Cricetulus griseus: one gene and its partner. The protein of the gene in region 2 interacts with the protein of the main gene of each other region in a biochemical or structural test. Links are inferred from orthologs where the notes say so. Each region holds a gene or a part of one and is shown on either strand. Other genes may lie near its edges.

The links.
Region 1: the proteins of Ube2m (region 2) and Dcun1d5 form a complex in vitro, tested with the Homo sapiens proteins (3 studies listed by BioGRID). The link is inferred for Cricetulus griseus from reciprocal best matches to the Homo sapiens genes UBE2M and DCUN1D5.

Annotation. Positions count from the first base shown.
Region 1 is NC_048597.1:121,723,771-121,727,270, reverse strand, and holds the end of Dcun1d5 (DCN1-like protein 5), read right to left. Parts: intron 3,425-3,500; coding exon 3,320-3,424; intron 1,848-3,319; coding exon 1,745-1,847; intron 1,029-1,744; coding exon 1,020-1,028; intron 350-1,019; coding exon 294-349; 3' UTR 153-293; downstream 1-152. UniProt on the Homo sapiens protein: Contributes to the neddylation of all cullins by transferring NEDD8 from N-terminally acetylated NEDD8-conjugating E2s enzyme to different cullin C-terminal domain-RBX complexes which is necessary for the activation of cullin-RING E3 ubiquitin ligases (CRLs).
Region 2 is NC_048602.1:25,624,911-25,629,192, forward strand, and holds Ube2m (NEDD8-conjugating enzyme Ubc12), read right to left. Parts: upstream 2,801-4,282; 5' UTR 2,738-2,800; coding exon 2,630-2,737; intron 1,823-2,629; exon of another isoform or gene 1,808-1,822; coding exon of another isoform or gene 1,777-1,807; intron 1,448-1,776; coding exon 1,352-1,447; intron 1,225-1,351; coding exon 1,186-1,224; intron 1,084-1,185; coding exon 980-1,083; intron 702-979; coding exon 638-701; intron 554-637; coding exon 413-553; 3' UTR 39-412; downstream 1-38.

The sequences.
Region 1 (3,500 bases), on a different chromosome or scaffold from region 2:
ATAAATACCACTGACACTCAATGGACATCTTCACTTTAAGGCCTTTGTCACAAATCTGAATCTTTATTGTTCTGAAATAAATGTTAAAAACATAACTTGAAACAAAAACGTCAATATTCAGTCTCAGAAGACGTGTGGCTCAGTGCCCATCACATGTAACAAGAAAACTTCCTTTAAAAAAAAGGAAAAAAGTACTATGAGAAGTCTTTCGTGAGTGAAAATGCACCCTTGTATATCCTCCCTCTTTCTGTATTTTCTTCACAAGATTTGCATTTTCTTCACAACAGTTCTTGCTATGATGTTTGACGGATTTTTTGCCACTCAACAAATTCATCAAGTAGAACCGGCCCTAGACAGAAGAAACAAGTTGTTAAGATTCAGTAGACTCATCCCTCTAACAAGCTCTGAGGTGGCAAGGGCCCACCTAACCTGTCCTTCAGCTACTGCTTTCTGTTTGTTTTCTTTCCCCAGGGTTATTTCCTTCTCTAGGAGTGTTTCATGAACTCCCCTATAAATGAGACAAAACGAACCTTTCCCCACAGCACTGGTGTTAAACACTCAGCAAACATATTTCTGCTACATCAACAAGTATGAGCACTTGTTAAGGGGGAATGGCCACGTGAGACTAACTTTATTCTAAAAATGAGACACAGTAAAAAGAATAGCATAAAGCAAACACCTACTACCTAACTGACTGCTAGTCTAAAAAAGAAGTTTTAGAATGTAGAGGTTCCAAATGTTTACCAACAGAAGCCAAGTGGGCAATTTAAATGAGGTTTCAGTATTTGTGATGTATGGAATTCAGTATCTCAAAATGTATGGAAAGTATGACCACGAAGAGATATGCTTGTCTTGTTTTTCTCAAAACATAAAACCTCTGGGTGTTCTTTTCTCTCTTGCTTTTAGCAGACCATACAAAAACAGCCGGGCAGGCAAAGCAGTAAATGGCAATGTTGGAATACTGCGTGGACTGCCAAACTGGAGAGCAAGTTCAACACAAGCCACTACTTGGTTCCAACCTCTGAAACCTACAAAGGAATACAGGTGCAATGTGTCAGATTTTCTGATAGTTCAAATAAATGTACAAGTTTATTTTTATACCAAACCTCTCAGTTTTAAATGTTGGCTCAACATACACAGATATACATGTCTGCAGGCTCTATGTAGCTCTCGGGCTGTTAGCCTACTGCAGAAAATAAGTATTTCTTCAAACAAGAATTAAATTCTACGTGATCCTGTAGGGAAAAAACACTATATACTCGAGGCAGGCTATCTCTTTGGTAGTACCTTGTCTCTTTTGCATCAAGTGTGCTATGTCCATTTTTGTTATAAAGCAAGGCACCTTTCCACGTACCCCATATGAACACTGAAACACTGCAGCGCTCCAAGTGACAGTAGAGATTTAAGTTTAATTAAGAATTCTACAGAATTAAGTTGGCTTATTAGTTGTGCCTTTGTCCTTTTAATGCATGAGTGAAACTTTCCTTCTACTGAAAAGGCAAGTAAAAAGTAGGATTTTGGCTTCTAGCTTGAGAAATGATCATTTAGCTGTAATGTCTAGTCACTTATTCACTAGCATAGATTTTACAACATTGCTGAACCTAGACTCTGCCTCCCCCATATCCTGACTAAATAATGAGTTACTGTTACACTATTTCAAACTTTCTGTTAATGCCTCAGAATGCACAAATTCGTTTAACATTTTTAGGAATTTTATTTTCATAGGAATGCATGATATACTTACAAGCACCATCTTCATCGTAGTTACTAAGATCGGCATGAACTGTTCTGCTGAATTCTAATACATTGTACCACTGATCTTTGTTCATAACTCGATACTTTGATTGCTGTGGAAAATGATATAAAAATGTGGACTACAGAACCAACATTCTTATTGGGGCTTGAATTTAGTGACTCTCATTTTCCATTTATTTGGTCTTTTCTAACATATTTCTTCCTTTCTTAACTACGTGCTGTTCTAGACTCCTTTAGGTTATCATATATTTTCTTTTCTGAAAGGCAGTAAGACTAACACTGAGATTTACATGTATGTACACCCATGTGGCTCTCCACTAGAACACTCAGTTGGTCTGACAGTGTGGTTTCCACTATACAGAATGTATTTGTGTGCATCAGCTACATTTTGAAGAGAGCATCCACAGCAGTAGTGGGAACACTATGAGCTTGGATCTGAATCACAACGTGAACACTCAATTGAGTGCTCTTGGGAAAGTGACTTCTGTGGCAGAGAGCTTGGTGGGCAGGTGCTCAGGGTTTCTTCCCCAGCAGGACAACTAGGTATGGTGACACACACCTGTGATCCCAGCACTTGGGAAGCAGAGACAGGATGATCATGAGTTCAAGGATGGCCTGGGCTATCTAGCAAGACTCTCTGTCAATGCCTCCATCAAAACACAAACCATTTCCCCCCAAAACAAAACCCAATCACCACTACCACCAAACAACAAAAATAAAAATCCAATACTAAGCTAATCCCATACCTGATTTCCTCAACTACTAAATGGTAAAACTTGCTTGAACATATCTCGTTTTTTTTTTTTTTCAGAGCCCCACAGAAGTTAATATTTTTGTATTTAGCTAAATGTATTTTTGATCGACTAACAGGAGGAAGATATGTATCATTAATCAAAAATGTCAACTTTTACTTGCCATAAAAATTTACCAATGTACAAAACTCATTTCTCCAGGTTTTAAATAAAAGTGCTCTGGAAAAGTTACTGTGACAAGTAAACCACATGACATGATGTTATTTCTGATAGAAAAGGCAGCTCTATTTAAGAAATGGTTAGACATATGTCCCCAAAACTCAAGCGGAAAGGTTTAAAACTAAACAGAATCACACAAAGCGAAGAGTGGAAAAGCAGATGTCTTGAGCTAGCTGGCAGGTGCAGCACAGCTCCTACGGGATGTTTATTCTGTGATGCAGCACACACTGCAGAGTCAGCAGTGCAGTGGATAACTGTTACAGCCATGCTCAGATCTGTGCGTACAAAATATTAACATTAAAACCTCAAGAAATTAGGTTTATAGGAAATGTCTATGATAAAATAGTTTTCCTGGGATTCCTCCTAGGGAGAACGAAAATCCCTTAAAATGCAAAGCACGTGTTCTATCACCAAATTACACTCCAGTTCCCAACTATATTATGTACAGAATATATAAATAATACAAATTTATGTCTAAAACTGACAATATGGTACATATTTTAGCAGATTTAATTACTCATATAAAAATTTTAAAGTACAGAATTTGTTCCTTAAAAATGCATTTTCAAACATTTTAAAATGCCCATACATACCTCCAGGTACTGATAAAATACTGAAAAGAGCGGCCATGTTCTCCCAAGCAGCAGAGCTAACATAGACTTAGCAGTATCAATATCAAGGCTTCTCTGATCTTTATCCTACAATATTAGTGAGAAAATGTAAGTACACTCATAAAATAAAACCACTTAGGATCTGAAGGGGAAGCTGTACCTA
Region 2 (4,282 bases):
TGTCCCTCCCACCCCACAGAAGGAAGAGGCACAGGCCATGCAGTAACATTCCCCTTTAATAGCCTGGTGGGACCTCCAGTGGTGGTGGGGTGGGTTGCCTGGGACCAGTGACCCAGGCTCATTGCCCACTTACCCCACAGTCAAGAGTGGGGTATTGGACAGCACCCAGCGGGAGGGGGGGGCGCTAAACAGGCCAATTCATTTCCCATCGCTGAGCAGGTCGGGAAAAGGCAGCACCGACCATAATCACGTGGTGGTTAAAAAAAAAATAACTAGGGACAGGTGACAGGGAGGAGAGGTAAGGCCAAGGCAGGGGCCAAGGCTACCCCACATATCCTACCCGGGCCCCCAATAAATATTTGCAGGGGATGCCTGGGCTGGTGACCCTGGCAGGGATGGGTATTTGCTAACCCTATTTCAGGCAGCGCTCAAAGTAGGTGGACCCGATGTAACCACCTCTCATGGAGCGCTGCACGTTTTGTTCAAACAGCCGCCGGTTGTTCTGCAGGACCTCGGCGGCCTCCTTGTTCAGTGGGTCCTCGGGGTTGGGCTCCTGTGGCCAGCACAAGTGGAAGTTAACAGGCAAGAGAGGCAGATGGCCAACAAACCCCCGCCTCAAATGCCTGTGCCTACTCACCAAGAAGAGATACTGCAGGCCATAAATTATGGAGTTTATCGTAAGGACTGGCTTCCAGTCCTCTCTGTGGGCAGAGAGCATCAAGGTTATCACATGTTGGTGAGTGGGAGGCTTCAACAGGCCCTGCTAGTACCAAACAGGTCAGGCCCATAGGAGGCCCGTAACCCTGAAGAGTGAGAGGTAAGGAAGGGGTAAGACATGGAACGGGGCAGGCCATGGAGAAAGCCAAGGCTGGGCTATTAGGAAGACAACGTAGAAATGCGAAGACAGAATCACAGACGGTAAAGGGCAGAGCAGAGCAGAGGTGGGCCTCGGGAGGGAAAGGGGAGGCAGGGCCATCACCTGAGGATGTTGAGACAGACGTTGCCCTCGAGGTCAATGTTAGGGTGATAAACCATTGTCTCACACTTCACCTTGGGGGGGTCATGTGGATAACCTTGTCCCACCTGGCCCCAGAAAAAAAGGGAAATGAGAGGGGCAGGTGTTTTGGCTATGCCTCAGCTGCTGCTACTTCTCCACCGAGCCACCTCGGTCCACCTGGGACTCACCTTAAAACTGAACACAAACTTCCCACTCTTGTAGAAGCCCTGGGAAAGGGAGCGAAGAAGGAATTAAGACCCCCCATTCTTAGGGTTTCCCATTCTCTATGGGCGGACAGCACCCCCACCCCGGGGTCTGTTCTTGGGAACCCTGCCACCCACGTTTTACTCTCACCTCATCAGGACAGATAACCAGCTTGAAGTTGAGGAGGTCGTCTGGGTCTGAGAAGCTGATGTCACAAGTCTTGGGCAGGTTCAGCTCGTTAATGTCTAGGTTTAGGCAACAGTGAGAGGGAGAGCAAACGACGGCGTGAAGGTCTGGGCAGGTGTTAGCAGGACTTCCCAAGTTCTCCTTCCTGACCTGTAGGGCCCCGGCGTGTGGTGGCCTCACACCTCGCAGGGTGAGTCCTACACACTCTTCCCACTTTCCAGTCTCTCGGTGGACTCTGGTGGATACATAGTATCCCCACACGTGAGCATCTTCAGTTGTAACCGGACGCCTATCTCTCGGGAAGGGCCAACCTTGATTAACCCAACTAAATCCCCACCACCACCACCACCACCACCACCCTTCCCACAATGCAGTGAGGGCCCAAGAACCTCTGGCTTCCAAGAGATTGCCCCTGAGCATTCTAAACTTGAGGCTGCGTGGTCATGACCTCCACTCGCGACTGGTTTACCCGTCCGTCCTCATTCGAGGACCCTTCCCACGCTAGATCGGCCCTTCCCATCAACTATCCACAGCCTCCCCTTGTCCTTCTTCCTGTTTCTCGGGGGTGGGGGGGTGGTTATTCCACGCGCCGCTTCTTCTCATCTGACTCGTGAAGACTCCTAGCATGGTAGTAGCTTCCATGGACCCCGACTCCCATCTTTATTTTATCCATCTATGTATCTATCTATCTATTTATTTATTTTTAGTTCCTGTCACCTGCTTTCCTCCTCCCCCCCCCCCGCCTTTCACCTCAAACTCAAAACTGCTCTGCCCTCCCCTCCCGTCCCCTCCCCCTCGTCCCGGAGTCCCGGGGCTCCAGGTCTCCCAACATCATGACCCGAGGCCGTGTCCTTCCTCCCCCTCCTCCTCCTCCTCTCCGATTCGCAACCTTCACCCCTGTCTCCACGGCCCGTCGTCACCCCCGCCAAGTTCCCGTGGGACTCTCAAACTCTCCCCCCCCCCGGTCCCCTACCGGATCCCCGGCGCCCTAACCCTCCAGGCCTCAGGGTCCCTCCCAAGGCCTCACCCGGGGCCCCCGGCTCGGACCGGCCCTCCCTAGCGACCGCACCCCCGTCCCGCAGCGCAGCCCCCCCCCCACCCCGACTTCCGATACCCCCTCCCCGCCCTCCCCCCTCCGCCCGCCCGCCGCCCCGCCACCTCAGCGGCTGCACCTTCGCACCCCGGGCTCCCCGACACCCCCCCACCCGCACCCCACCCACCGCACCCCACCCCAGCCCCTACCTTCTGGATCCGGAGCTGCGCCGCCGACGCCTTCTTGCTGCTGCCCTTGGTGCCGCCGGCCGACTCCTCCTCCTTCTTCTGCTGCTTCAGCGAGAACAGCTTGATCATCCTGTCGCCGCCGCCGCCGCCGCCGCCGCCGCGGGGCCCGGGACCCCGGCCACCCGGCCCCCCCGGCCGCCTCCTGCGCCGCTTCCGCTCCTCGGACCCGCTGCCGCGGCCTCCCGCTCCTCCTCCTCCTCCTCCTCTTCTTCTTCTTCTTCCTCCGCTGCCGCCGCCGCCGCCCGCCCGGCCTGCCTGCCGCGCTGCTCCGCGCCCACCGCACGGCCCGCCTCGGCTCCCGTAGTCCGGCTCTCGGCCTGGCTCAGCGCCTCGGGTGCGTTCGGAGGCGCTCGGGAGGACTCGGCTCTCGTCGGCCCCGCCCCTGCTCTCGGGCGCCCGCCCCGCCCCCACCCCCGCGCCCTCCTCCTCCTCCTCCTCCTGCTCCTGCTCCTCCTCCTCCTCCTCCTCCCCGTTCCCCTCTTCCGCTCAGGTCTTGCGAGAGGGCCCCCGCTGCGGCCGCTTCCCTTCCCGGCTCCGCCGCTCCGCTCTCCCGCCTGCTTGCTCCCTCCCTCCCTCTGCGAGGAGGCTGCGGTGAGGTGGGAGGCGGAGGAGGCGGCAGCCGCGCTGGCGGCGGCAGGGTTACCGGTGGAGGCTCAGCTCCCGCGGCAGGCGCGGCTTCGGTGCGGAGGTCCGCAACGGCCTTCGGGCGCCCCCCCCCGCCGCTTCGGCACTTTCCGCCGCCTGCCTGCCCCCCGCTTCGGTTCTTCCTGGTCCCCCCCTCCCCCGGCTGCGGGCTGCGCCTGCGCGGCCCCCTCCCTCCCCTCCGTTGGCTCCTCGGTTGGGGTTCGGCCTTCTTCGGTTGCTCCTCGGTTGGGTTTCGGCCTTCTTCGGTTGCTCCTCGGTTGGGGTTCGGCCTTCTTCGGTTGAGCTCGGCTGTTTCCGTTCGTGGAGGTGCCTATTCGGCGGCCCGGCGGCTGCGCACACCCAGCAGAGCAGGAAGCGGGGCTGGCAGGCGTTTTTTTTTTTCTTTTTTTTTTTGGAGCGAGTCGCGTAGCGGCCGTTTGGTGCCCGCTGTTTCCATCCACTCTTGCGCTTAGGCGGAGCGGGCTAGAATGGGTGTTTGCTGTCTGTGGGCTCAGCAAAGGCAGAGCCTGGGCGTTATTGAGGGACGTTGTCTGGGCTCCCCTTCATCCCATCGCAAAGCCAGATTCCGATGGATGGAAACTAGTTTAAAACTCGTACTGTTCTTGAGCACAGACATTCAAGGACATCGGGACCCTTGCTCCTTAAAATAGATTTCTGTCGTGCAACCGAGGGTGAGCACTGTGTAATTGTTTTAAAAGCAATTCTTATTTTTTTTTTTTTAGATTTTATTTATTTATTATGAATATAGTTGTCTGCATTCATGCTTGCACACCAGAAGAGGGCACCAGATCTCATTACAGATGGTTGTGAGCCACCATGTGGTTGCCCGGAATTGAACTCAGGACCTATGGAAGAGCAGCCAGTGCTTTTAACCTCTGAGCCATCTCTCCAACCCCGAGCACTATGTAATTTTACTGTCCATCTGTGGGTATAGGGCTTGTAGCTGCGGCCTAGAGACCAGCAGAAGTA